Linked DNA regions of Alligator mississippiensis. The protein of the gene in region 3 interacts with the protein of the main gene of each other region in a pairwise test. Links are inferred from orthologs where the notes say so. Each region holds a gene or a part of one and is shown on either strand. Other genes may lie near its edges.

Region 1 (7,024 bases), about 74 Mb from region 3:
CTTACTAAACAATTCCAATTCAGCAGGTCTGAATGAGAATCAATACTGTTTAGACTGGCTTTGCGTGTACTACAGCTGCTTTTGGCACGTCAGTATCTGACACCCTGTATGTAGTCTTGAACTGTTACCACTTGGGAGTTGATAACAAATTATTTTAAAAAGTGCTTCTCTTTTGCTGAAAAACAGGGATGCCTCAGATGCTAATCAAAAATAACTTTATTTTCTAAAAAACTCTGGTCAAGAACTACAAGAATTTCTTACCTGGAAGAAAACTGTCTGAAAAATTCTCTTAGCAAAGCCTACAGATAAAACAAGGGAATCAGAAGATCTTACCCCTTTGTTGCCATTTCTCTTTTTAGACAAACAGATGGAATTTAATTTCTACAGTAATTACTATCAGCCAAGAAAATTTCTCAGATCAAGAAAATGAGGAGGTGGAAAAGCACAACAACCCCTCTTTAACAATCTGGATGTCAAAACGTAAAAACATGCAACATGGACTCGAATGACAATATGCTGGATACATACTGTTGTACAACAAACTCCACCGATATGAAAACATCTCATACCCATAACACAACCATCCAAATTTCATATTTGTACAGCCTAAAAGCCCTCAACTATCCACATTTTACTTTTGGTTTAGTTATTTGGGGACTTTAGTGACAAACACAGTCTATAAGAGCCAAGTGATTTTACCAGGCTACGTTTTTAGAGAAAAGGCCTAAAGGTACAGTTTTCAGGACTGGAGTTACAGTGAAGTTTTAGCAGAAAATGGACTCCAAAGCATGATTAGCTGCTCAGAGGTTTCGAAAATTAGGTTTTCAAATAAACAAGTTATTTATAAAAATAACCAAAAGGTGGCTTCAGAGATTTATCACACGTGCTTCATGCAAATATTTTGCGCTTCTGCATAACAACTGTCAACAGTCTCTAAACACTTCAAAAATTAAACATCACAAAGCCTCTATCATGTAGATAGTATTCATTATGCACTAAGGAACTCTAGTAAGAAAGCCTACAAGACCTTCTAAAGGTCTCAGAAAATGAGTAGCAAAGCTAAGCATAGAACCAATGGTTCAGTTCCCACCCCCTTTAACTACCGTAAACCAGGACACAGGAATCCTGACTTCCAACCCCAGTTTAAAATGCTAGATTATGCTGCCTAATTTAGATAATGCTTCACTGCAATGTCTTTGTACCTCACCCTAGTATTATTATACTCAACGAGAAAAAAAAAACAAACAGCAAATGAAGGTTAGCCAAATTGAAGGAACAGATTCCCTAAAATGTATTTAAGCATATCAAGCTGAGAACATAGAGACAGTTCGCCAAGTGTCATTTGGGGGATGTAGAAGAAAGGCATTACCTTGCGAGCTCTGACTCAGCCTGGCTGAGGAACGAGTCACACGGGCAGATCGCCGAGATGTGCCATCGCTTTCAGAGCTGTCTGTATGCTCAGGATCAGTAGAGAAATCGGAGTCTTCAGTGCCATCTGAACTACTGCCAGCGTTCCTCTGCAGCACCACATTAGCAAGAGAACAGTTAAGACTTCAATACTACTCCTGCTAACACAAGAACGTTTGGGGCCTGAATGTTATAGAACAGATTCAAACTTTTTGCAGGCAGATCGTTTTGGAGAAAAGCCTCCCTTCAGTATGAGAAACACAAGCTGAGGGGAAGTGGCACCAGTAACTCCAGACTTCTGCAAACTTGTCCAATACAAACAGGTTGCACCAGTGTCATTGGAAGGAAGTCTTGTGAACTGTCAAGGCACTAGTTGCCTCACTTGAAATGAAAACCTGGGACAGCCTGGGAGTAGCACCTCCCCTGGGCCTGGGAAAGCCCCGCTCTGTCCTGGCACAGACAGGCAGGTGGGTGCACCACAGTGAAGGCAAGGCAGATGCTGATCTGCAAAGAGAGGACAGGACAAGCCCAGGACTAGGAGCTGGGAACAAGTCACTGCTGCCCTTGTCCCGCTGGGGCAGGGGCCAGGCAGGCCAGAGGAGCCTGGCTGGGCTGGGACAGGGAGGGAGAGAGAAGGCTGCGGCAGCCCAGGCGACAGGGGGCGCCCTGCTGGGAGGGCGGGTGCCCTCGCCGCTTTGTTTTGCGCCCGCGGCTGTAGATCTGCCTCCCTCCCTCTACATCAACCAATCACCATCAGAGAGGGGAGGGGCCGAGAGGAATCTCCTCCAATAAGAATTCCCATAGAGGCGAGGCGCGGCTCTAAGGCGTGACTGACGGGCTGCCCCAGCCTATCAGCTAGAACCTCGCTTCCCACAGAAACATCCATTCGGGGCGGCTGGGGGAAGGGAACACAAGAAACAAGGCACGCGCGGGAGGTATTCGTGGGGGCGGGGAGTGGCAGCCGCGCCGGCCAATCAGCGCCCAGCTAGGCCATTAGGCGAAGCCAAACACACGCAGGTCCTTCGTTCTCTTGTCCAATCGGAACCGCAAGGAGGTGGAACAAGCCTCCGCCGGGGGGAGGGAGAAAGGTAACCGTTGGGGGGAGATGACTGACAGCAATGTTAGCCAATCGGGACCCAGCGAGCGCCAGCGGGAGCCATTCAGGGAGCAAGAGAGGCGGGTGCAGGGGGCTGAAGGCCGCTCTTTTCCCCCGGTTTTTGTGCCTCTGGGGGAAAGTTCGCTGGGGGCGGGAACGGGAGCAAGCCCCCGCGAGGTCCCTGCCCCCTCCCCGAGAACCTCTCCCGCCCCCGCGGCCTCCCTCACCTTCCTGCGCGGCATCCTCGGCGGGGGCGGAGCCAGCGAGGGCGCCTGGTCTCCAGCGCCTCCGGCCCGAGAAGCGGCGGCGGCCGCCGTGGTGGTGCCGGCGGGCTCCGTGGTGACAGCCGTGTCTCCTGCTCTCTGTCCCCGACAGCCAGTGGCGCGCCAGCCCGCGCTCCGCGGCCGCCAGCAACCCCCGCTCCCCGCTGGGTCCCTCACGCTTCCGCCGGGGCACGGGTCACACCCCCGTCACGTGACGCGCACTGAGCCTCACGCCAGCGGGCGCCGCCATCTTGGGCTTGGACAGGTGTCCGGCTCCACGGCAACGACGCTGCAGCGGCCATCTTGGTTCGGGGCACTGCCGTTTCCGAGGGGACGGGAGGCGGCCGTGGTTCTGAGAACGAGGCGACTGACGGGGCCTACTGAAGGCGTAGGCGGCCATCTTGGGTTCGGGCAGGATGTTGACCCGTGAGTCTGGGAGCTGTGCTGGGCGAGGGCAAGCTTAGCTTGGCTCTAGGCGGCCATCTTGTATTCTGGCGGAAGTGTTCCCCCTCCCCCATCTGGTGCCCTCCCTCAGTTAGAGGCAGTGAGCGGTTTCCTCAGGCGATTCCCTCTTCCCAGAGCAGCCAGCGGCCTGTGTGCGTGGAGGGCACCGGAACCTGCACCGAGGGGCTCGTGCGGCCTCGAAGAGCCGCGGGTGAGTGCGGGCGGTTCCCCGGGAGACGGGAAGCGGAAGGCGCTGTCCCGGCATTTTTGTGGGCAGTGCGGGCCGCGCCCTCTTGCTTCCTGATCACATGCTGCTCGGGGTAGGTGCGGGTCCCTGGCTGGAAGAGCAGCAGGGTCCCTGCTGCTGCCTTCCCCGCCGGGCGGTGAGCGGTGTGGGGCAGGGGCTGCCCAGCCTTGTCAGGTCTCTAAACATGACATTATGGTATCGGGAGCTCAAAAACGATCGTATTTGCTGAAAAATATGCGAATATATCTACAAAAGCATGCAAATAAGCCTTATTATTGACTTTATATTGTTCGTTGTAACTCACCAGTGAGTGAGTGAGAACTGGGTCATCAGAGTTGAAGTGTTTCTTTATTTTGAGGCTTGGCATTTTGGCTCAGATCAAGCAGAGACCTGTTCTTACTGCTTTTCAGCCTCTTGAAGGCTCAGATCAAGTGTAGCCTATGCTTATCTAGGAAAATTCCATGATCAACATGGTGGCTTCCTAGTCACTCCTGGGGAAAACCACTCTGCTGGCATGGGATAGTACCTGCATAGGTCATGCATAATTAACCTTGGCTTTATGCCCACTTCATGGAAATGGGGGACTCCTCCCTGGCTTGCTCCTGGGGTCTTGCAGTTGGGGGGTAGGCAAAGCTCAGGGGCATCTGAGCCCCAAGCCTCCGGGCATGGGCCTGCAAGTAGGATGCCCACCAAGGGTTTTGGGTATATGTGAAGCCCCCGGTGGGGGTGGGGGATGCTGCCAGTGGTAGGGCCACTTATGGTTTTGGACTGACTCATGGATTTGAAATTGATTTGGCCAATTTGACTGGGAATAAAGAAAATTAAAAATACAACAAAAAAAACCCCAGGGGTGTCTAAACCCCAAGATCTCTGGGCTTGGGCCTACACATAGGGTGCCTGTCACTGGGTTATCTGAAGAGCTGGGATGGAGGATACTTACCAGTGGTAGCACCACATGGACTTGAACAATTGAGTTCTGCTTGGTCAATAGGATTTGAAACCAATTTGGCTAATTTGACCTGGAACAGTAGTGACAGGGGGGCCTCCTCGGGGCCAGTCTCCACAGCCTGCCCCGTCTCTGTGGGCAACCGCCTGCTTATCTCTCCCGCCACACCTTTGATAATAATTGGTTCAATTAAGATGTCAGTTAAGCAGGAAGCTGCCTATTTGGTGCCCCAATGCCAGGGGGCACTCTCTGTGGCTCCTACCTCCCCAATACCGCAGCCCAAGCCTCGCTGATGGCATCTTGATGTTCATCTCCTCCGGCCCCCACGCTGGGGCCCCAGAATCACCCAAACAGGACCCCTCTATGATCCCTCCTGATCAGGCAGCCTCTCCGCCTTCATCCGGGCTAGAAGCCCCCCCAAAGCCATTTTCCCCTCTCAGGTGTGGTCCCCCTGGGACCTTCAGCTAACTGGCCCTGGCCCACCTCCAGGCCAGTTGGGACCCCAGGCCCCTGGCTCTTGGGCATCCCTCGCAGTGGGCCCCTGGCCCTTTTGACCATCCTGGTCCTGGCCCCAGCATGGGCCAGTCAAGGGTACTATCTCATTTGGGCCGGGTCTCTAGTCCCCCTCTCTCTCTCAAGGTCCGCCCTCTGGGCCTCACAACACTGGCACCCCCCAGGCCCCTCAAACAACACATGGGGTTACCCACTCAGTGGTGGGGGCAAGGGGTTAAGGCACCCCAACCTACCTTCCACCAGGGTGGTAACTGGCCTGGCATTTCCTGGGGGCTCCCGCACCACAGAGCCCCACCAGACCACCCACTCCCAGCAGGGTGCAACTTCAGGTCATGCCCAGGACCAGGAGCCTCCTAACCAGCCCCTCGCAGCTCCCCCTTACCTCCAGCTCATTCACAGCAGCCCTACAGCCAGGCAATGTTACTGCCTGGCCTCTAGCAGTCAAACTGCCCTGCTTATATAGGCAGCCCTTGTGTCTAAAAATGGCTGCCCTAATCAGGCACCTGGAGGCTGCTAGCTCCAGGCCCTTAAAGTGGCAGGCACACACAGTGCACTGCCACAGTAATAATAATAATAATAAAAAATCTTTGTTTTGAGGCAAAAAGTCGTAAGAAAGTGCTGACAGCAAACCCAAAAGTCAGTTAAGGCTCTCTTGAGAGTAACTTGTCTTTTGCATATGCTGCATGAATTAGCTGCCTGAAAAATGATTGTACATTTTGAACACTTTTACTGTTATTGATCATACACTGAACAAGGGTTGAAATTATTGTACAAATATGATAGTTATACACCTGGCAGCACTGGAGCTGACTGCTGGGAGACCACAGTCGGGTTCTTTCTTGGCACTTGGGAGGAAGGAGCGAGGCTATTCCCCAGGCTGCACAAGTGCCTGCCTGGTGTGGGCCATGTGTCTGCCTCCAGGCTAAGCTTTTCCTGGTCCTAAGCACGTGGCTATTTCCCTTTGCTTCTAATAGGACCCCTTTGACATCTGCAGCACTGTCTCAGTAAATACTAGGGAAAGTCCTGGATGTGCCTTTATTGTGCAGAAACAAATATAGAAAGACCATATAGCACTTTTCTGTCTTTGAAGGAAAAGTAGTGTGGGCAACCAGCAAATGTTCTGTGGACTATCTAGTAGGAGAATCGCTTCCCTGGTAGCTTAGAGCAGTGGTTCTCAACCTTTTTTGTACCAGGACCCATTTGTAAGCATCAACGGCCAGTCCCGACCCAGTGTCCCTCAGTCCTAACCCCTTGCCTCCCACCCCCAGGCTCCAACCCCCCAGTGTGTGGGGCAGGGGAGGGTGTGGAGCATGAGGGGCCCCAAGCAGCCTCTTGCAGGCTGGAACTGCATTTTTAAAGTTTGCTTGCAACCTTTTCATATAGTCTTGCCACTGACTTTTGGATCATGGTTGAAAAACATTGGCTTAGAGGATGGATAACCAGGCCGCAGATGCATTAAGCCCCCCTTTTTTAAAGTTGAGTATTCACAATAAATTAAAAAAGCAGAGTAACATGTGCAAGGCGTGAAAAGAATCAAATTTTTCCTCCAGGCTTGTGTGGTTTTCATTTTTACCCATCTGTAACAAAACTGTAATTCTTTCACACAAAAATAGGTTGTACAAACACAGGCCTCCAGTACAGTAATGAACCCAGTATTGTAGAGGCCTGTGTCTGCAGTTCTTGTTGGAGGGGTACACAAAAATAAAACTTAGGAGCCTGAGTCGCTTAAGCTGCCAAGTCCCAGTAGGAGTGAAAGTCTCCTTCCAAGCTGGTGGGAGTTGAGGACTTTAGTCTCCAGATACTGTTGACAGTCTTACCCAAAGTTACAATTTGGGTAGAGTTTTAGAGGGCGGGGAAAGGAGCCAAAATAACCTTTGTTTTGAAATACTTTTACATTTACTTCCTATTTGGATTATAGGCTTAAGTCAGTATTTTTTTTCAGGTTCTTTAGAATTAGCCTAATGGAGCATAGTACAACTGAATATTTTTAATAAGGCAAACTTTACTTTTTTTATATTCTAATGTTACAAATCCAGTGAGTGACTCTTGGAAAACTAGTGTGCCAGCCAGAAACAACGGGGGAAAAAAAGTGGCAGGTTTTTAAGTTG
Region 2 (7,709 bases), on a different chromosome or scaffold from region 3:
CTCCGCGCTCTGGGCTCAGCACCCGCCGTGCGGCCCCCACCCCGCCGGGCGAGCTGTGCGTGCCCACCGCAGGAGGCAGCACCAGAGCCATGCCCCGCACACCGCTCCCTCCTCGCTCCCACGCAGGCTTCCCCCGCCAGAGACCCCTGCCCGGGGCAGACTGGACCCGTGCACCCCCACTCCCAAGCCACCTGGTCCCCCAGGGCAGACAGCCCCTGCCAGGGCCCTGGGCGACACGGCACAGGCCCCGCTCACCCCATGCCCATCAGGCCACAAGTCAATAGCACACACGGCGGGGGCGCAGAACGGGTGACCCAGGTGCCCGCCCCTGGCCTCGGCAGACACGCCTGGCCTTGCCGTCAGGGACAGCAGCTCCCGCAGGGGCCCCGGGGCCGGGCAGAGGCAGCAGAGCGCCCAGGCTGTGAGGGGAGAAGGCAGGGCCCCCGGCGGGCTGGGAGGAGACTCACCGGCCCCAGGTTGAGGAATCCATGCTTCCTGGCCAGCCTGTCAGCCTCTCGCGGCCCTGCCGGCACCCGCACTGCCCAGGTGTTGGTGTAGACGCGCTGCACGAGCACCTCCTGGGCCAGCAGCACCAGGGCCGTCACCAGTGTCCAGAGCAGGAGCAGCACGCGGGGCCACAGATCCATGAGCGCGCCGGGGTGGCCGAGCGCCGGGAGCAGGGGGTCCAGCGACGGCGCTTCTGCTCACAGCCGCTGCATGCCCAGGTGCCTGCTCTGCCTGGCCGGCCTCCCCGCGGTCCGAGGGATCATGGGGCTCACGTCCGGGCGGCAGCCGGGCCCAGCGGCAAAGACGGCAGCAGCCGGATGGCAGGGACAGACCTTGGCACCACGACCTGGGGGCAGGAGGAGTAGTGGTTAGACACGCCCGGGAGCACGTGGGCTGCCTCTCCCCGCTCCCTGCCGCGTGGTGGACCAATGGCGCTGCCAGGAGCATGCAGGCGCAGGTCAGCCCAAGCCAGGCCCGTGGGGGTCTCCGCAGGCAGAGGGAGCGCTCGATCTGCGCCACCTCCGCGCCCCCCGCGCAGCAGGGCCCCCGGCAGCCTCCTCTGCAGGCGCTGACCCAGGCAGCTGCTGCCGGGCTTGGGAGCGCGAGGTGGAGGCGGTGGCTGGCGAGAGGCCCGGGTGCTGGAGCACAGCGCGCTGTTTACCCTGCCTGTTGGCCAATGTGTGCTGACACGCGCGTGTACAAACAGAGCAGGGATGTGGCCGGAGCCGGGAAGTCACCTGGGCCAGCCCCGCGGCTGGGGAGCAGGGACCGACACGTCGCAACCCCCGCAGCAATGGGAGCGCAGCCCCGCGGCCCCAGGGCAAGGGCGACCGGTGCGGGTGCATCTGCGTGCCCCCCAGCCCAGCACACACCACCCCACAGCACCCCCGGCCCCGGCCCCGCCCGCGGAGGGGGGCAGCGCAGCAGCTCAGGCTGGCTCCGGCTCGGGCCTCCAGACAGCCGCTGGTGGAAGCCGTGGCACTCGCAGACCCTCCGGGGGCTTGCAGGCCTCCCGCCCGGCTCTGGGCACGGCGCTCCGGCTACCCCGGGGAGGCCGGGCCGCAGAGCCCTGGTGCGGCCGCACGGGGGTCTCCAGCCCCGCGCCCGCGCCGAGCACCCGGCAAGAGGACGTGCGGCCCGGCCCCGGCCCCCCCCGCCCGGCCGGCCGGCCGGCCGAGACGGCGCCGCGGTGACACCCGGTGACTCACCGCCCGCCCGCCCGCCCGCCTCCCCCTCGTCCCGGGCGCGGCGCGGCGCGGCGCGCCTGGCCGGCCGGGGCCCCGGGCAGCGCCGGTCCGCAGGGCCCTCGCCCCCTCCGCGGGCGCGGCGGCAGAGCGGGCCGGGCGGACCCGGGCACGGGCCCGACACACGCTGTCACCGCCCGCCCGCAGCTCCCCGGCCCAGCCTGTCCCGGGGCCCGCGCACCAGCACGGCCGCCTCCCGCCGCCTCGCCTCGGCCCGGCCCGGCCCCGGCGCTCACCTCCGCTCCGCTCCCCGGCCCGGCTCGGTGCCCGTGCGCGGCCGCGGCCCCTTTATGCTGGGCGGCACCGCCCCGCCCGGCCCGGCCCAGCGCGGGGGACGGGGACGGGGCCGGGCACGACCCGGCTGTCAGCACCGCCCCGCCCGGCCCGGCCCGGCCCGGCCTGCCCCGGCGCCGCCGGATGCCGCCTCCTGCCCGGCCCGGGCGCTCCTCCCGCGGGGCGGCGCCGGCGGCGGGGAGGAGCCGCGGGCCCGGCCAGGCCAAGGGCAGCGGCGGGAGCCGAGCCGAGCCGGGCCCCGGGCACACGTGGCGCTGCCCGCTGCCCGCCGCGCGCCCAGGGCCGCCACCAGGCCGCCTTGTCCCGCTCGGCCCGGCCGAGCGGGGAAGGGCAAGGGCCCGGCCCGGCCCCCGCCAGGCTGAACCGGGGTCGCTACCGGGGGCCCCGCTGCAGCCGACGGGCCGTGGCCGCCGCTCGCGGAGCGGCAATGCCCAGCGCCCCGGCCTCCCGCCCAGCAGGGCAGAGGCGCGGGCACCTGCTGCGGGGCGCACCCGAGGGACCTGCCCGCCACTCCTGGGCCGGTGGCACCCGAAGGCCCGATTCCCACCTTGGCTCGGGCCGCAGCCACCCGGCCTGCCCGGAGCAGAGCGCAGCGCCGCCCGGGGCTGCCCCTCTTGGGCCCGGGCAAAGGCCGAGGCTCCCAGGGCAGGAGCCAGCTGGAGCACAGCCCCCGCCTGCTGCCAGGCTCTGCCGGGACGGGACAGCACAGCACAGCACAGGACGTGCTGGTGCCCGGTTTCCAAGCGGGTCTAATCGTTTCACCTGCGGGGTCACGTGGCGCAGGTCTCTCCTTGCAGCCGCGCCGCCACCTTCCCACAGCGGGACGAACTGGGGCACCCGCGCCGGACCCGTACCTCGATGGGTGGGAGCAACAGGGGCTGCGAGCGCCAGGACCAGGTGCCCCCGAGCAGCGCTCCTCTGCAGCCAGAGATTGGGAAACAGCTAGCTGATGGCATCCCCGCGTGCCCGCACCCCCACGCGCTCGGTGCTGGCACCAGCCGGCACACACAGGAGCTCGCAGCACTCGATCCTGGCGGGCACTGCCGGGGGAGCCCACAGCAGCCTTGGCCGTGGCCCCGCAGCTAAGCCAGCTCACGCCCTGCTCAGGCTGCGACCTGCAGGACCGGCTCTGCCCAGGCCCTGCAGGCAGGAGCGCGTCTTGCTCCTGAAGCAGCGCAGCACGGCTGCGTTGTGCAACGCGCAGGTTTGCTCGGAGCCGCGCCAGGAGCGCAGCAGGGCGCGCCCAGCCGCCACGGCCAATTAGCGCGGGAGCGGCAGCGGGCTCCGCGCTCCCTCCCTTCCCGGGGGCCTGCTCCACAGCGGGGTTTCTTGTGGCCGAGCCGGGCCACGCCAGACCCTGCCACCAGCGACTTGCCCTCGAGGCCTCCGTGAGCCAAGCCCCTGCCCCCGGGGAGCTTTGCCTCGCGGGTACGTGGACCCCACGGCAGGCCATACGCCCAGGCGCTGCCCGCCTGCCAGGCTCCCCTCCAGGTGGCCCTGGCCCTGGCCCTGGCACCAGGGCCCTGCTCCCCCCGTGCCGAGGGCAGCCCCCGGCACCGCTCTCCCGCCCCAGCAGGGACGCGCTCACAAAGGACGAGCCGCAAGTGCCGGCAGCTGCCTGTGAAACAGGATCTCCCCGGGCAGGCATGCAGGGCCCTGGCCGCGCGCCAGGCTGCGACGGCGCCGCGCACCTGCCCCTGCCCCAGCCCCAGCCCCGCAGCTGCTCCGCGTGCCGGGCCCAGGCCCCGGGCTCGCAGGGGCCACGCGAGCCTCGGCGTCGGCTCCTGCACGTCCGCCATCGCCGGCTCGCTCGCCCGCCCCTGCTGCGCCCGGCGCCCGCTCTGCCCGGGAACCCCGAGCGACAAGGCCGCTCACGCCGGGGCCAAGGCGGCGCTGGCAGCGCCAGGCAGGCCCAACGCTGCGGGCTTCCCCAGCAGTGCCGGGGCCCAGCAGCCCGTGCTTGCTCCACAGTGCCGACCAGGCCCGGTGCTGCGAGCGTCCCCAGCAGTGCCCTGTCCACACTGAGGACAGGCCCACGCGCGCTCTAGCAGGGACTTGGCGCGCGTTTCTGCCGCCGGCTGCCGTGACACGGCGGGGCCCTTCCAGCGTCCTGCGGGCGCGGGGCAGGACCGCCACCCCTGCCCTGCCGGGAAGCAGAGGCCTCTTCCTCTCTTCCAAGAAGGGCAGGAGCGGGACGGGGCTCGCGGCCCATGACGCAGCCCCGGCCCGTGCCCCGGTGCCAGGCTCCTCCCCCGCACTGTCGGGAAGCGCCCGGCCTGGTTTCCTGCCTTGCGCGCAACCGGCTGCGGTTGACACCTGGTGCCTTGCACAGAAACCTCCTCGCCTGCCCGAAACTGGGTCACCCGCTGCGGGCCGGGGGCGGCCAGAGGCTACGCCCGCCTGGCCCAGGGCACGGGGCAGGGCACGGGCAGGGCCGCTCGCGGGGCGGGGCGGGGCGGGAGAAGCCGCCCACCTGCCTTGGCACAAGCACCACCCCAGCCCCGGGACCGACCCCACCAGGCCACTCTCTCCCACTTCCGCAAACTCTATCCCCTCCTTTGACCAGAGCCCCCACTTCCGGTCAGGTGGGAGGGGACCGCTGCCCTCTTCCGGTTCCGGGGTGAGGGTTCAAGTGCCGTCGGAGTTGACTTCCGCCTTGGCTTCTCCGCTGTCCCCAGCTTCCGGTTCCGGCGGACGGGAGCGGGTCTCGGTCTCGGTCTCGCTGTCGGTGGGTCCCGGCCGGGCCCGGAGCAGCCGCCGCCGCCATGTCGGTCCCCAGCGCCCTGATGAAGCAGCCGCCGATCCAGTCCACGGCGGGCGCCGTGCCCGTCCGCAACGAGAAGGGTGAGGGGGGGGCGGTATCGCGGGCCGGGCCGGGGGGCGGGGGTGAGAGGAGGGAGGCCGGGGCAGGCCCAGGCCCCGGGCCCGGCGCTCACCCGGCCCCTGCCCGCAGGCGAGATCTCGATGGAGAAGGTGAAGGTGAAGCGCTACGTGTCGGGCAAGCGGCCGGACTACGCGCCCATGGAGTCGTCGGACGAGGAGGACGAGGAGTTCCAGTTCATCAAGAAGGCGAAGGAGCAGGAGGTGGAGCCCGAGGAGCAGGAGGACGACTTCGCCAGCGACCCCCGGCTGCGGCGCCTGCAGAACCGCATCAGCGAGGACGTGGAGGAGCGGTGAGCCCTGCCCCGAGGTCCCCGGGAGCCGGGCCGAGCGTCTGGGGCAGCGAGTCGCCAGAAGCGCTCGGTAACAGTGCGGCCCCCCCATCGCCCCCAGCCCCCGGCCGTGCTTCTACGGCGAGAGAGCCGCCCGTCACGAGCGCGTTTCTATTTGACCGAAGTCCCAGGAGCGAGGTGCTGCGCGAGGCCACGGGCTGCCGCGGCGTTGCTCAGCAAGCGAGGAGCAGGCTCCCCGCGGAGGCTGTGCTCGTGGCACAGGGGAGGGGCGGCCTCCTCCCGGGCAGGCCGGCGGCTCGGTGCTCAACGGGGTTCACAAAAAATGGGTTCCTGCTGCCTTGCGAGGGAGTGCCCAAGCTGTCGAGGGGTCGGCTGCGGCTTGTGCTTCAGCACAGGCTGCGTTGCCTGATGGCACTCAGGGCTGTCACGCTTCATAGACTCGTAAAACTCGGGTCGGAAGGGACCTTGTAGATCTTCAGGTCCGACCCCTGCCTGGGCAGGAGGGAAGCTGGGCTCAAGTGACCCCAGCCAGGTGGACATCAAGCTGCTTCTTAAAGCCCCCCAGGGTAGGAGCCAGCACCACTTCCCTTGGAAGTCGGTTCCAGATCCTAGCCGCCCTGACTGTGAAGTAGTTCCTACGGACGTCTAATCTAAACCTACTCTCCAACAACTCGTGGCCGTTATTCCTTGTTATCCCGGGGGGCGCTAGGGGAAACAAGGTCTCCCCCAAACCCTTCTGGTCCCCCCTAGTGAGTTTATAGACAGTCACCAGGTCCCCCCTCAGCCTTCTCTTGCAGAGGCTGAACAGGTTCAGGTCCCGTCGCCTCTCCTCGTAGGGTCTGCCCTGCTGCCCCCTGATCATGCTGGTGGCCTCCTCTGGACCCTCTCCATGCTGGCCACATCCCTTCTGATGTGCGGCACCCAGAACTGGACACAGTACTCCAACTGCGGCCTGATCAGTGTCACGTAGATGAGGAGGATCACCTCCTTGGACCTGCTTGAGATGCACCTGTGGATGCATGTTAGCGCTGCTGACCGTGACCTTGCATTGTCGGCCCATGTTCATCTTGGAGTCAACGATGACTCCAAGATCCCTTTCTGCCTCTGTGCTCTCAAGAAGGGAGTTTCCCATCTTATAAGTGTGCTGCCGGTTACTACTGCCCAAGTGCAGCACCCTGCACTTGTCTGTATTGAAACACGTGGTGTCTTAGTTGCGTAAGATTCGCATGCAGGTGCCTGATCTGTGGCACTAAGGAAGAGCGGGGCCCAGATCCATCCTCCTGGTAACCGGTGGAGTCACAACAGTAGATTAGGAAGGTTGGGGTGAGGCTTGGGGCAGGTTTGTGGGGCGTTGGTACAAGGTGACTGAGGTGCTGGGTCTGGGGCCTGTCCACAGGCTGGCGCGGCACCGCAAGATTGTGGAGCCAGAAGTGGTCGGAGAAAGCGACTCGGAGGTGGAGGGAGAGGCGTGGCGCATAGAGCGGGAGGACAGCAGCGAGGAGGAGGAGGAGGAGATCGACGATGAGGTACGTGCAGGGGCGCAGCAGCTGGTTGCAAGTGTGCTGCCGGAGGTACTGGTGCCTCCGGGCCTCCCAGCCGGGTGGGACAGAGGCTGCTGCTGGCAGAACTGGACAAGGCCGCGGAGGCTGGGTGTCACTGTGTAGGCGGCTCGGACTGACCTTTTGGGCGACAGGCTCCTTCCAGTCCTCACTGCAGCTGGGAGGGGGCAGCAGGACAGAAGCTTTTGTTAGTCCAACACATGCCACAAACTTTGTCTGTGATGTGACAGAGCTGGAAGGGACTTGACCACTGGTCCCTGCTTGGGGTGGGGAAGCTCTGGAGGCAGAAGAACAGAGGAGGTGGAAGGGTGGTGGCCCTGACACCTTGGTCTGGGGTGGGCTCTGTCAGGAGATTGAGCGTCGCCGCGGGATGATGCGCCAGCGAGCCCAGGAGAGGAAGAACGAGGAGATGGAGGTGATGGAGCTGGAGGATGAGGGCCGGTCTGGGGAGGAGTCGGAGTCGGAGTCTGAGTACGAGGAGTACACAGACAGCGAGGACGAGATGGAGCCGCGCCTCAAGCCCGTCTTTATCCGCAAGTATGTGCCACAGCTGCCTGCCCGGGGAGGCTCTGGCAGCTTGTGGAGGGCAGAACGCCAGCCTGGGCCACTGTTCAACCTCTGCGTGAGGAAGCAGTGGCTCTTCCTACCACAGAGCAGTGGCAACAGGTGCCTGAGCTGGAGAACCAACTAATGGCCCCTTGGGTTCCAGCCCCAGGTTGGGTGCCAGGCCTGGCATGTTGCAGCTCTGGTCCCCAGGGGATGAGCATGGAGCAGTAAGGCTCCAGACAGCCTTGCCATGCTGCAGCCAGCTCATCAGCTACTATCACCCCCTTCCTCCCCTGCCCCCCCAATCCTGAACAGCCTGGGTGGGGAAGTAACAAAGCAGGTCTGCCTAGAGCCAACCCAGAGGGGTGACCTCACCGCCATGGTGC
Region 3 (6,879 bases):
ATCCCAAGGCACTCTTGAAAGGATCTCAAGGCATGCCAAGGTGCCACAACAAACAAACAAAAAGCTTTTCAAAACTGACATGATCTAACTTCTAAAGACACCCCTACCTGGCACCCTGTCATATTCCAGCTTCCTAATTCAACAGTCTTCTGTGCTGGATGGGAAGTCACAAGCTTGTGGCCTGCTGGAGTATTACTTGATAAAGCACAACTTGTTGGGATCTGAGAACAAAAGGAAAATTGGTCCTATCAATGAATCACTGACAGCTCAATTAAAAAATAGCAGTTTCAGCTTCTTTTGGATATGAAAAATATAAAAGCTACTTGTTCTCTTTCACAGAGATGATGTCTGTCAACTAGTCAAATTCTTCATCCTTTCCAAAGCCAAGTCCTACATTTTCTAGGTTTAATGATCTGGTGGCGCTCAATTTCTCGGCGCTTGACTTGAAACACCTTAGAAGAGGCCTGACTTTCAGAAAAGCCTATGCACCCCCTCTCTAAAAAATCAGGTCCCTTGCAGGTATCAAGTCAGACAAAAAGGAAACCGTCTCTATTTCCAATCACATAAAAATTCAGACCAAAACACCTGATGTGAACTGCATGATAAATCCCACTGTTTATAGACACCACCTTACACTGAGCTGCACTAGAATTTTTAAATTGATACAATTTAATCTGCAGAGAACGCTTGATAAAAGGGCCAAAACTAAGATGGTGGGAGTGGGTATTGATGGTTGCTCAACACTGTAGAAATATCAGGCCATCCTATTAGATACCTAACTATGGATTTAGAGCCGAACTTTTGCCCCTATTTCTGAATATTTTTCCAGAACTATCATTCAAAATAGGTTTAAGTCTGGCACTTTAAATTTAACAATAAATATTGAAAATATGAGTAACCTCATAACAAAAGCAAGAGGGGAAGAGTATTTCTATCAATGTACTATTTTTTTCCCTCTTCTTTCCTACGATCAACATTTACCTACATTCAATTCTAATGCATCAAAACACCATACAGGTCAGTCGCATCATACACACATTTAACTTGCGCGAATTCAACTATACGTGGGGTGGGAGGGGGGGCAGGGCTCGAGTTTGCATGTGTGCCCGGAGCTGTGGCTGGCCGCCGGGTGGGAGCAGCAGCATGGTGGTGCCCGGGCGGCACGCAGCCATCCCCACCCTGCACTGCCGCCGCCAGCCACACAGCTCTAAGCACGGCTCCGCAGCGGCGGCGGGAGGTTTTGGAGGCAGAGGCAGTCACTGCTGGCATGGTAATATGCGATTTCACTATACACGATTTTCGCCTTACGCACCGACTTTAACGTAACCCCTGCGTAAGATGCGACTGACCTGTACTTATTTCTTGCAGTTACACATAGTGATACAGGGTCTGATCTTTCAGAAGTAAAGTCATTAGACACTCGAAATGCTTTTGAAAGTCACGATTCCCATCAGAGCACACACCAACTGCTGAAGCTTCCTTAGCCTGATGAAGGGGTTTTGAACCCAAAAGCTTACTTAATAACTATTCTCCAACCATTTGGGTTGGTCTAATAAAAGATATCAAATTCACCCAAGGAACCTTGTCTGCCTACGATCCCCATCAAGGATTTGAATGAGCATAGTGGATAAAGAGGAAATTTATGTTGGAGAATGGTTAGCCTTTTTATATTACAAACATAGCAGTTGGTAATTCAATTCGGGTCAGACTCGATGATCTAATAGGTCCCTTCTGACTCTCAAATCAATGAAATCTATGAATACCCTTTTTTGGGGGAAGGCAGAACAACTAGTAGGGGACCATGATCTGGTGTGCGTGGCGGAGTCTTGCTTCTTTGAAGATCTCTTTTTTTTTGTTGGTGTTCATTTGTTTGCAAAATAATTATTGCACATCGAACAGTGGGCCACCAACATTAGAAATGTTTTTTAATACAAAGCATCCGGTAGGTAACCTTCACTTAATCTGCTTGGGGGTTTTCAAGAGGAGTTTGGACAGATATCTGGCTGAGGTACTACGATCCCGGCACTCGTTCCTGCCCGGGGTAGGGGGTCGGGCTTGATGATCTGTTCAGGTCCCGTCCGACCCTAGAAACGACAAAACTATAAGAAACTACGCTGTACACGCAACACACCGCTTAGCTTCATTGCTCTACCTCAGCCATAACAAGCAGCTCCCGTGTCGCGGCGCTCAGGGACCGGCTGTCGCATCCCGCGGCTCTCCTTCGTGACGCTGCTTAAAAAAAAATCAGGAAGGAGAAAACCAATGAGTCCGAAAACAAGCCCAGGACAGCGACACCGACATCTGCTGCGGAACGATATTTTGCAAGGGCCAACTAAAAAAATTATCAGAGCCGCGGTCCATGCCGGGAAGGTCGCGGTTGGGCTGCCAACGAGAATTTAATATCCCTGAAGACCCAGATTTTTTTTTTTTAAATGACAAATATCTGCACAGATTTTCTAGCGCGACCCCAAGGGTCAGCGGCGGGACGGGGGGGCGTTTCAGGACCACCCTGCAGCGGGGCACTGGGTAGCTCGGCAGAGGATGCCCAGGAAATGCCTCTTTGATGGCGCTGGGTTTCTTTGGGCCGTGAGGAAACCAGAGAGCAGCCAGAGGGTGGGGGAGGCAGCTCAGCAGCTGGGGGGCCCTCCAAGGTCCTGGGGGAAAACCAGGGCTGGCCCCGACCGGGAAGGCCTCAACCCCGGTCTAGTAGGAGACCTTAAACCCCTCACCCTCACCCGCCGCCGATAACCCCACCCGAAAGGAATCCAGCTTCCGGCTTCCTGTCCTCTGACTTCCTGTTGTGGCCCCGCCCCGGAAGGAACCGTCTTCCGGCTTGCGAGCTTTCTGCACAGCCCCTCATCCGCCGCTCCGAAGGAGTTGGCTTCCGGCTTCCGGCGCTGCGCGCGCAGTCACGCAGCCCCGCGGCTCGGAGGAGGCGGCGGCGCCGCGGGGCCCGCTCGGGCCGGTGCAGGCGCTGCCATTGCGGGAGCGGAGGAGCCGAGGTAGGAGTAGAGAGAGGCCAGTTGCTGCACAGGAAGGCAGGCTCTTCCCCCCCCCCCCCGCAAAAAAAAATTCCCAGTCAAACCAGGCGTATAAAAATTCCTCCTGCCCCCCACAGCGCTGGTTTCAGTGCAGACAGCGGGCAGGTTGCGGTTGCGGTGCCCCCCCGGGCTGCAGGGGGGGGCCCGTCAGGCGTTAGTGGCCTATGGGTAGGGAAAGGTCAGGCTGGTGTCCCGGGAATGGGAGACGAATAAGACGGACTGGACTCGGAGGCAGGCGGACGTGGCGACGAAGGGTGCGGATGACGGTTATCAACCAGCACCCCCCGTTTCGACTTGGCGATGTCGGTTTCGACTCGGCGACGCTGGATCCGGCGCGCCGGCGTCGCCCGTCTGCCTGGAGAGCATCTGTCCGAACGTCCTCGGGCGCTTTGAAGAAGGCAGGCGAGACTCCAGGAAACCTGCGGCCAAGACTCGTGAGGAGACTGGAAAGGTCCGGCCGAGTCGCCTCAAAGAAGTCCTTCCAAATCCTTACGATTGCTATGTATGATACGAATGCAGCTGTGTATCCAGGTTGTAGCCGTATTGGTCTAGAGGAAAAGGCGATCACGCCTCGTAGTCGAGGTGATCTCGTTTATTTGGCCAATAAGATTTTTGCAAAAAAATTCTTTTCCTTTTTTTGCAAAAAACCTTGTTGGTCTAATAAAAGAGATCATCTCTACTACGAGTCTTGATTGCCTTTCACTGTTGCTATATTACTTATGTGTAATTGATTGAGTACAATTTCTGAGTTATTTTTGGTGGGAAGATGGTATCGGTTCAGAAACCAATCCCCCAATTATAACATTGTTTCCTATGGGAAACTGCATTGCGAATTACAATGTTTCACCTTAAGACACGGTTTTCAGGATTGAGTGGTGCTGTAAGTCCGAGGACGGCCTGTATAGAATATAATTAATGGTTGAGACAAGGGCAGCCTGTGCTTCTTTCTCCCTGTCTGGACTCGAAAATAAAGGGAAATGCGCTGAAATTGAAGAGGGAGATTTAAAACTGGTATGAAGAGGTGTTTCGCACGTTATTTAAATTGTGGCATTTGTTACAAGGAAGCTGTTGGGTAAGATGGAGAGAAGAACAAGATTTACAAACGGACTGGATTGTCAAGACTTGTTACAATTCATTATTTGTACTGCAAGACTTACACTAAGCATTTTGGAGCGGTGACTTTCTTAGTTTTGTTTTGCACAATACCTTCCCCGATTGGATTGAGTCCCTGCCGAGGTCTCCTAGGAGCTACTGTAACATAACTATTAGAGACCAGGTTGAGACCTCAGTGGGAAGCCACTTATTCCCCATCTTAGTAGTGTTGTGTTTGTGCACCTTCCTCCAAAGTATTTGTAGCTGGTCATTGCCTTAGAGACAGGTAGGCCATGTGGAGCCAAGTACGGTGTGGTGGTTCCCATGTTTTTCTACTTCTGGGGGGAAAAAAACGTACTAATCCCCAGCTCCACAAGCACTTACATGCAGGCTTACCTGAAAGGTAAGGCACATTAAGTATTTGAAAGATTCTTGCTTTTGCTTTCAACACAAACCCTTCCACCGAAAACCAACTAAAATGTTGTATAGTTTTCCTTGGATGATACTTCCTTCTGCTCCTAAAATGTCCGGCATCAGCTAGAAATTTCTGTATTTGTCATGACCAGGTGGCTTACTAGTGGCAGCTCATGTGATCTCTGTGATTAGACTGCCAAAATGCTTCGGATGTTACCTTCTCTTCTACTTAAGGCTCAAGCCTGTGCTTCTGTTGCCATTTTTTTATTTCCTTGGGGCTCTAAAGAATAAAAATAATTTAAAGGCCAAATTTTCATAAATAAAAAAAAAACAACACCTAAATCTCATTTTGCTAACCTCTTCTGGTAGCTGATGAGAACTGCATATTTAAAGCAGGAATGAGTCCTCTCTATGGATATTTTAAAATAACATAACAGGACCTTTGTATTTCTTCTGGTATTTTGCATTATACTTCTTTACATATGTGTGTAGGCCATGATCAGCACTAGAATCTTAGCTTGTGCTTATTGTTAAGCACTGTTTAATTTTTTTTTTTTAAGGAAAATTTTTCGTGTCCCAAGTCAAATCGGCCAAATCAGTTCCAAATCCATGTATATGTGGCCCTGCTGCCGGCTAGTATCCTCCACCCCTGTCTGGGGCTTCAGACGCCTCCATATTCTTTGGCAGGCATCCCATGTGCAGGTCCAAGCCTGGAGGCTTGGGGTTCAGATGCCCCAGAGTTTCGCTTGCCCTCAACTGTACGGCTGCAGGAGCAAGCTAGGGAGGAGTCTCCCATTTCTATAAAGTCAGCGTATAGCCAAGATCCTGCCACTGGAAGTGAAAGTTGGAGAATAATTATGGATTACCTCGGTCAGGGTACTACCCCCCCACCACATTCATGGTTTTCCCCTACCAGTAGGAAAACCATGTTCCATGGTCATGGTATTTACTTACTGTTAAGCAAATCCTTAAGTCTCTTTGCAGCCTATTGAAAGCTACCTGCATGCTTAAGTTCTTTGCTGAGTAGGGACCCTGGAACTGTCTTCTGCCTGAGTTTGGGTAACTTCTAGCAAAAATAGTACTTCTATACCAAAAATGCAGATGAATTAAACTACAGTAAATTATAGCTATTTTGTAAACAAAACTGTAGATGAGTATGCTAGACTGCATAGATAAGAATTTGTAGTTCCTTTTTGTCAGCCATTACTTGTAATCATATGCTTAAAAGAATGATGCACAAACCCTGGGAGTTTGGTCCCATCTTTTATAACGAGTGCACTAATTTGTTCCCTAGGAGCTACCTGTTTCGTTATAACATTTTTAAGAGAAGGCTGTTTATCGTTAGACACCTTGAAGATGAAAGAGCAGATCAGCAGTCTCTTAGAGCAGTGGTTCTCAACCTTTTTTCTACCAGGGCCCATTTGCCAAGATCTGTAGCCTGTCCCAACCCATACCTCCTGGCCCTGCTGGTGCCTGACCCCCATTTTCCTGTCCCGTCTGTCCCCATCGTCCCCCATCTTCCCCCCCCCCAGCCATGCTGGTGTCCCTCACTCCTGACCCACAGCCCCTGCCCCCACAGCCCTGCTGGAGGGACCCTGGCTGCCCCCCAGTCCCCCTCGGGCCAGAGCATGGTGTCTGTGGCAACCCTGGCTCATGCGGGTAGCAGCAGAGTGAGTCCGGCCCTGGCATGGACTGACGGTACCACCTGCCCTAGACTGGGACTGCTGCACCACACCAGGCAGTCTGATCATGGCCACTTCCTTCCCCCACCCCTGTGTCTTCCAGCTGCCCTGCCCCTGTGAGTATAGGCACCAGCTCTGCTGCTTCCGGCTTAGCCGTGCAGCTCTCCCCGACCCCCTTCCCCCATTGGAAGGGGTAGGCACCTTCCTGTTGCCCCTTTGCCCTGCCACAGCTTGTGACCCTTTGAAATTTTCTTGCGACCCACTTTTGGGTCCTGACCCATGGGTTGACAAATACTGTATTAGAACCAGGTAATTGCAGTCTTTGACTTTCTATTTTTTTTATATTAGCAGCAATGTATGCATGATCAAATGTAGATTTTATTTTTTTTTTTGCCCCGCTTGCTTGCTTGATCAGGTTAATGTGATTATTGATGAGTATCACAGCAGCTTAGTAAGATTAGTGTGTGGTAAACACCATTCAGAGCTTATTTCTTTGAGTACTTTTGTTTAGAGGTGAAAAGATAGCTTTTTCTGCCTTGCACTTAGCTTGCTCCAGCTATGGAATGAGTGGAGGAGGGGCTTTAATTTCAGGAGGGCTGCATCCTCCACCCTGTCCCCTTCAAAATATTTTGTTTTGCCATATTAATTCA
Region 4 (7,295 bases), about 100 Mb from region 3:
AAAACAAAGTCTTGTGGGAAATAGATTCAGTGAGGGGGTTTTCTTTCCTTGAAATCTCAGCTCCAGGAATAACATAAATTAATGAGAATCTCTGCTTTCATGTAAGGAGAAAAAACTTGTAATGTTCGGAGTTGCAGAGAAGAGCTTGAATGCGTGAACCCGAATGACTCGGAAACCAGAAAGGAAAATAACAGGGGCCCCAAATTTATACTTCTTTAAGCAATTTCAGGATTTTCAGGACTGGAGTCCTGATTTTGCCCTTGGACAATGGGAAGCCCCTTGTTATCTTCCCAGCACAGGCCTTGAAATAGAAAAGGTTCTCTGGGTCTGTGGAGGGTGGTGAATGTAGGTAAGGTGCCCTCACCAACTCTGGAGACAGGAGGAGGGTGATCTGCCCCTTTAAAATTGCTTGACCCAGTAGTTTCTTTGATTCTGCTTTTCTCCTTCATTTCTTTCCCCTTTCCCACTATTTTCCCCCTCCCCTTTTTTTTTACTTTTTTTCCTTGGCTTATTACTTGTTTCTCCTGAGTCTTCCTGTATTTCTTCTTCTCCATCACCTCTCTTTCTCCCTTCATTATTATTTGTGTTGTGATAGTGCATATGAGCCTTAATGAAAAGCAAGGCCCTTGTGTTAGGCAAAGCTCAATCACTAAAGAAAGATGATTTCTGGCCTGAAGAGCTTGCAGCTCACATGTGAGGCAAGATTCTGCTCATGCTTTGCTGCACTATCTCCATAGTGCTATCTAGTCTTCCTAATCTCTCTCCCCTTGCCTGCTCCTACTTGTACCCTCCTCTCCTCGCTTCTGGTTTATCTTTTTAATCCCTTGCTTCCTCTTTGCAGTCTCTATCCTGCTTTTCTGTTTTTCCCTCTTTCCCCTTTCCTTTCTCTTCCACCCTCTCTCTACGTATGATATTTATTCACTGCCAGTCTACACTTAGAAATTGTTCCAGAGTAAGTTTAGGCTGTCAGTTTAAGTCATAAAATGTGTTCCAGGTATCTTTCCTATGTAGCAGAGAATCCTTGAGCTTTACACTCTTCTCTGTGTCTTTCATGCTTAAAGTGGGGCCTCGTGGTGCCCCCTCCTAACCCCACTTGCCTTAGCCCTCTTCTGTCCTTTCCTCTCTTCATGAAACAGAGGCTGGGTGCTTCTGAGCTATCTATTGTGCTGTGTGATTTTTTTTTTTTTTTTTTTTTTTCCTACTGCTCAACTTGCTGTACTTGTAACGTGGGATTTTTTATTTTTTTTTTTATTTTTTTTTTAGCACTTTCTTTTTGTATTACAGGACAGACAGCCTAGCTCAGGGTGTGGACCAAGGGCTACATAGGAAGTTTTGATGAGCTTTTGCAGGTCAGGTCAGCAACCTCTCTACCCCTGCAACAACTTACCAAAACTTCATATGGGGCTTTAGGCAGGTGGGGGGCAATGTTTGGGAGCAGGATGGGCAGGTGAGGCTGATCTGCTCCCTGCACACCCTCCCCAGGTGGGGTGGGCCATGTGTGCATGGGGATGTGTGTGGGTTGTGTGTGTGTGTGGGGGGGGGGGCATGTGTGCATGTGTGTAAAGTGGGGGCTGCCTGGGTGCTAGGTTCAGAGCCAATCAGAGCTGAGGACAGGGAGGGGGAAGGGGAGGAGAAGGGGGAAGGGTGCGGTACATGCATCAGAGCTTGACTGGGTGGTGAGGTCTGTAGCTGCCCCTGCAATGCTCCACATGCGGCCAAGCCCCACACAGGGCAACCAGAGCCAGCCCAGCCTTGGTCCCAGCCCTGGCCAGTGAACAGCTTCTGGTGGGGCTGTTCCTAGTGGGGCTGCAGCTGGCGGGGTGCTGCTCGGTTCCCCTTGTCTCCAGTGGGAGTTGTCCAGCTGAAGCTTCCCCCCATCTGCCCACCCAGAGTCTCACAGCAGGGGCAGGAGTGGGAGGAGGAGCAGCTGCTGGAGACAGGTGGAGCAAAGTAACCCCTGGCTGGCTGCAGCCACATTGGGAACTGCTCCACTAGAAGCTGCATGCACTGGCTAGGACATGGGCCAACAGAGCTATTCTACCCCTATTGCTCCACAATAGAGGCTTCTCCTTCTGGTCCTGTCCCTGCTGCACCACTCCTGGCGGGTGGGGGAAGCTTCAGCCAGGCAGCTTCTGCCTTAGCTCATGGGGCTCTGGCTCTAGCACCCAGCTGCCTTCCACCCACTCAGCTGCATAGGTTTCTGTACTTGCACATGGCTGCTTATGGTGCCAGGTGGGTGGAGTGAGTAGAAGGCAGCCCGGAGGTGGAGCTGGAGCTAGAGACCCACACACTGAAGCAGGAGTCATCCAGCTGAAGCTTTCCTCCCCAGCCACCTGGAATAGTTCAGCAGTGAATGGACCAGCAGGAGGAGCCTCCATTGGAGGCAATGGGAGCAGATCAGCTCTGCTGGCCCAGGCCTCTGCCAGTGCATGCAGCTTCCAGCAGGGCTGTTTCCAATGTGGCTGCAGCCAGCCAGGGGCTACCTTGGTCCCCTCGCCTCCAGCAACAGCTTCTCTTCCCATTCCTGCACCTGTTGCACCACTATGGGTTGAGGGGAAGCTTCAGCTAGGTAGCTCTTGCTGGAGGCGAGGGGAACATGGAAACAGCCCCGCTGAAAGCTGCACACGCTGGTTGGGGCTCAGGCCAGCAGGCACAGGCTGGAGTATGGTGTGTGCTGCCCTGGTGGGAGTGGGTGGGTCTAGGCCCCATGCAGAGCACCACGGGGGCAGCCACGGGCTGGATCCCATCAGTTGGCAGTCTAGATCTGGCCTGTGGGCTGTATTTTGCCTGCCCCTGGCCTAGCTAGTTTAAAGGCCCCTAATCTGTGGCTTGTGAATCGCCAGTCCTCTAGTGGCTCACAATGCAAAACAGCAGCCAGTAAATTCACTCTGAAGGAGATACATACTTGTTCAGTGAGCCCCCAAGTAGAGCTTCACAGACTACACGTGCTCCCTGCCTCCCCAGTTTGACCACCTCTGTTTGGCTGGTTTGGTCTTCTCTATTGCAAAGGTTTATAAGATGACTGTTATTATTTGCATGATTTTAATGTCCAGAAGTATGTTGCTGCATAAATACATAATGAGAAGCATCTCTCTGCCCCAAAGCCCTTACGATCTATATAGACAAAATGCATGATACATATTTGGCCCACCAAGGGATTCTTATCTGGCCCATGGCAGGTCCTTCGGCTCCACCTGGCCCAGGTACAGGGAGTAGCCTGAGCTGGTAACACATGAAGCTGGTCCTGCTGTCCCAGGTGCGCAGCGGGGCTGGAATGGCACAGCGTCCGGACTCAGTTCTTGGCAGCCCCTGCAGTGGCAGCTCCTTCCAGCTGCTGCTGCCAGTCTCTGCTGCTACCTCCAGGCACCTCTGCCTGTCCACCCCGCACCCACCGCTGGCAGCATCAGATGGAGTAGCTGGGCAGAGTCTCCATGGAGACTGGCCCAGGATGCCGTGGGTTGGGTGTACTTAGCCAGGTGGATGAGATGGGACCACAGACAGGTGGGGAGCAGCATCAGGGAGCGGAACGGGTGGACAGGGCAGAGCCACTTAAGAAGTTTTGGTGAGCTGTTGCAGGGCAAGGGGGGTGCTGACCTGGCCCACAACAGCTCACCAAACCCCCCTAAGTGGTCCTCCAGCCCAAATAAGTACCCCGCCCCCTGCACTAGTCCATCAGGCTTTTAAGGAACTTGTTTGGAAAATGGCTTCCGCTTCTTGGGAAGCAGACAAGTCAGTGTTTAAAAACGACACCACTCACTCGCTCCAACCCAGTGAAACTGTACCCAAGAAAATTCCAACCTCAGTCCTGAGCGATGACTAGATAATTCATCACGGCTTTATGTTGTGTAGTGTCTTTCACACTGACTGAGTCCTGCCTGCTTTGGATCGTTAAATAATGCATTTACAAAGATAATGAATGCAGAGGGAAAGAGAAATTAAGAACAAGGGCAAGGAAGAGAGTGGGTGTGTTTTCTGATAAGAACTGGAAGTAGATGGCAAGCTAATGAACAAAGGCAATACCAGGAAGGCTATTCTGAGCAGAGCCTGCTGCCGAGGAGAAGGTTCTCTTCTGGTTGGTGGAGATCTTGTGTGCATTTCTGCATATTTTATTGTGTCAACTAAAGACAGTCTTCACAGTCTGATCCTGGAAGAGCCAAAGGCCTGTGACCAGCCCAGGGTCTCAAAACAGGGGCAACACTGAGCTGTTTTTCTTATACTCTGTTAGCGTTCATGGTGAAAAGATTCACTGAGTGAGACGGAGTATGTTTGCCCTTTTAGGTTCGGTGGCTGCTTCTCCAAGTGGCGCCTTGGAGTTTCTAACTGGCACCATTACCTCCAACGAGTGGAGTTCTCCCACCTCCCCTGAGGGGAGCAACGACTCAGGGGGCAGTGAGGCCTTGGACAAGCCGATCGACAATGATGCTGAGGGTGTGTGGAGTCCGGACATTGAGCAGAGCTTCCAGGAAGCGCTAGCCATTTACCCGCCATGTGGGCGGCGGAAGATCATCCTGTCGGATGAGGGCAAGATGTACGGTAAGGAGAACAGCTGGGGGAGTTTTATCACCCTGGGGAGAAGGAAGATCTCTGTCAACCATCAGGTCTGCCATGTGTGCTGCTGTGAGAGAGATCCCAAATGATGCAGCAGCTCAGGTTAAATATGTTTGGCAAAGAAAAGCAAAGAGGAATAAGAAAAGTGGATCAAAGTGGCATTTAAAAGAAACTTTTTCAGAAAAGACTCCTCAAGTTTTTAACTAAAGTACGGCATGTTTATCATGTTTTTCATGTTTATCATGTTTTTGATAAAGGTTTTGGTGAAGTCTAATACAGTGGCTCAATGAATGCACTCATGCTATCTTTGAAATGTAGCTCATGCTGTCATTGTTAGGTTCTCCCTAACTTTAAGTGGTGGAAGTCTGTGGTTTTGGTGCTGAAGATCCTAGGTTCAAACCTTCAATGATGGTCTCCGATCGTGGTAGCTATGTTAGTGCCCATGTCACATAGTCCTTGAAAGGGGAACTTTTTTTAGCATAAATTGAGTATGAATTCCCCTCTCTCCACTTCCCCATGATGGTCTTTTGCCTCCTGTCTGCCTGAGTATATGCATTTTTTCATCTTTAATTTGCTTTCTGCCAGGACATAAAGAAGATTAGACCTAAACTGTTCTCAGTGATGGCAGATGACAGAACAAGGAGCAATGGTCTCAAGTTACAGCAAGGAAAGTTTAGGTTGGATATTAGGAAAAACTTTCTCTCTAGGAGGGTGTTGAAGCACTGGAACAGGTTACCTAGAGTGGTAGTAGAATCTCTATCCTTGGAGGTTTTTAAGGCCCAGCTTGACGAAGTCCTGGCAGGAATGATCTAATTGGGGCTGGTCCTGCTTTGCACTGGGGGTTGGACTAGATGATCTCTTGAGGTCCCTTCCAACTCTAATTTTCTATGATGCTATGATTCTGAGATGAATCATAGCATGAAATCTCCTCAGGTCAAGAATAAAGAGAGGCCTTGTCCTTCAAGTGCAAAAGGGGTGATAGGAAAAGATGATTTAAGGTCATTTTAAAATTGTTCTTTACCCCTCTTTGCCAAAAACAGCTAGTGAAAACATTTGCTGTCCAGGGCCATGGAAACCCTGGACCATGGAAACCCAAAAAGGCAGTGTACACCTGGTGGAAGGGGGGGGGGGGGGGGGCTTATCTCCAAAGAAGAGTATACCTCCATTGCTTGGGCCTGTAGGGGGGCTGTTAGGAAAGCTAAGGCAGATATAGAGCTAGGACTAGCGTCCAAGATCAAAGATAATAAGAAGTCCTTTTTCAAATATATAGGGAGGATGAAGAAGGCACCAGGAAATGTGGGGCCCCTGCAAGATGTGCTGGGCAATCTGATAGTTGCACCAGAGGAGAAGGCAGACATCTTTAACAAATTCTTCACCTCCATTTTCTTGTGCAGGGACCGGGACTCCCCCACGGTGTTTCAAGACAGACTCGAGGGGAACGCCTCAAGACCTAAGGTTGAGGTGGACCGGGTTAGAGTGCTTCTGGAGGGGCTGGACGTGTTCAAGTCAGCAGGTCCAAATGCTCTCCACCCCAGGGTGTTGAGGGAACTAGCAGGGGTTATTGCTGGGCCCTTGGCACGGCTTTACGAGCACGCGTGGTGCTCAGGCCAGGTGCCAGATGATTGGAAAATAGCCAATGTGGTCCCCATCTTTAAGAAAGGGAGGACCCAGGCAACTATAGGCCCGTCAGTCTTACCTCAATCCTGGGGAAACTTTTTGAGAAGATCATCAAGGAGCACATCTGTGACGGGCCGGCATCGGGGATGATGCTCAAGGTCAACCAGCACGGTTTCATTAAGGGCAGATCATGTCAGACCAACCTGATTGTCTTTTACGATCAGGTCACAAAAGCATTGGATGCAGGTGTCGCCGTGGATGTAGTCTTTCTGGACTTCGGCAAGGCCTTTGACACTGTCTCCCACCCCATGCTCATTAAAAAACTAGGCGACTGTGGCATCGATGCCTGCACGGTCAGATGGATTGCTAATTGGCTGAAGGGTCATATTCAGAGGGTGGTGGTGGATGGGTCATATTCGACCTGGGAGAAAGTGGGCAGTGGAGTCCCCCAGGGCTCGGTCCTTGGGCCCACACTGTTCAATTTCTTTATCAGCGATTTGGACAACAGGGTGAAAAGTAACCTGTTCAAATTTGCTGATGATACCAAAATTTGGGGTGAGGTGGGCACGCTAGTATGGAGGGAAAGACTGCAGAAAGACCTGGATAGGTCGCAAGGGTGGGCTAACAAAAGCAGGATGCATTTCAATACAGAAAAGTGCAGAGTGCTGCACTTGGGCAGTAGTAACCGGCAACACACTTATAAGATGGGAAACTCCCTTCTTGAGAGCACGGAGGCAGAAAGGGATCTTGGAGTCATCACTGACTCCAAGATGAACATTGAGAGGGTCCAGAGGAGGGCCACCTGCATGATCCGGGGACAGCAGGGCAGACCCTACAATGAGAGGCTATGGGACCTGAACCTGTTCAGCCTTCACAAGAGAAGGCTGAGGGGGGACCTTGTGACTGTCTATAAACTCACTAGGGGGGACCAGAAGGGTTTGGGGGAGACCTTGTTTCCCCTAGCGCCCCCTGGGATAACAAGGAATAACGGCCACAAGTTGTTGGAGAGTAGGTTCAGATTAGACATCTGTAGGAACTACTTCACAGTTAGGGCGGCTAGGATCTGGAACCAACTTCCAAGGGAAGTGGTGCTGGCACCTACCCTGGGGGTCTTTAAGAAGCGGCTCGAT

The links.
Region 1: the proteins of CEP70 (region 3) and KAT7 interact in a two-hybrid assay, tested with the Homo sapiens proteins (2 studies listed by BioGRID and IntAct). The two-hybrid records come from large-scale screens. The link is inferred for Alligator mississippiensis from reciprocal best matches to the Homo sapiens genes CEP70 and KAT7.
Region 2: the proteins of CEP70 (region 3) and MFAP1 interact in binary tests that used the Homo sapiens proteins (3 or more experiments, as listed by UniProt). The two-hybrid records come from large-scale screens. The link is inferred for Alligator mississippiensis from reciprocal best matches to the Homo sapiens genes CEP70 and MFAP1.
Region 4: the proteins of CEP70 (region 3) and TEAD4 interact in a two-hybrid assay, tested with the Homo sapiens proteins (2 studies listed by BioGRID). The two-hybrid records come from large-scale screens. The link is inferred for Alligator mississippiensis from reciprocal best matches to the Homo sapiens genes CEP70 and TEAD4.

Annotation. Positions count from the first base shown.
Region 1 is NC_081827.1:169,198,520-169,205,543, reverse strand, and holds the start of KAT7 (histone acetyltransferase KAT7), read right to left. Parts: upstream 3,030-7,024; 5' UTR 2,746-3,029; coding exon 2,731-2,745; intron 1,518-2,730; coding exon 1,370-1,517; intron 1-1,369. UniProt on the Homo sapiens protein: Catalytic subunit of histone acetyltransferase HBO1 complexes, which specifically mediate acetylation of histone H3 at 'Lys-14' (H3K14ac), thereby regulating various processes, such as gene transcription, protein ubiquitination, immune regulation, stem cell pluripotent and self-renewal maintenance and embryonic development.
Region 2 is NC_081834.1:741,841-749,549, reverse strand, and holds the start of MFAP1 (microfibrillar-associated protein 1), read left to right. Parts: upstream 1-4,695; 5' UTR 4,696-4,810; coding exon 4,811-4,889; intron 4,890-4,998; coding exon 4,999-5,218; intron 5,219-6,614; coding exon 6,615-6,744; intron 6,745-7,126; coding exon 7,127-7,314; intron 7,315-7,709. Other genes in the region: furin, read right to left, coding at 468-647. UniProt on the Homo sapiens protein: Involved in pre-mRNA splicing as a component of the spliceosome.
Region 3 is NC_081827.1:243,542,493-243,549,371, forward strand, and holds the start of CEP70 (centrosomal protein of 70 kDa), read right to left. Parts: upstream 3,032-6,879; 5' UTR 2,861-3,031; coding exon 2,755-2,860; exon of another isoform or gene 2,730-2,754; intron 2,689-2,729; exon of another isoform or gene 2,233-2,688; coding exon 2,153-2,232; exon of another isoform or gene 2,132-2,152; intron 222-2,131; coding exon 108-221; intron 1-107. Other genes in the region: FAIM (fas apoptotic inhibitory molecule 1), read left to right, coding at 3,206-3,492.
Region 4 is NC_081827.1:143,817,545-143,824,839, reverse strand, and holds the start of TEAD4 (transcriptional enhancer factor TEF-3), read left to right. Parts: upstream 1-4,262; coding exon 4,263-4,533; intron 4,534-7,295. UniProt on the Homo sapiens protein: Transcription factor which plays a key role in the Hippo signaling pathway, a pathway involved in organ size control and tumor suppression by restricting proliferation and promoting apoptosis.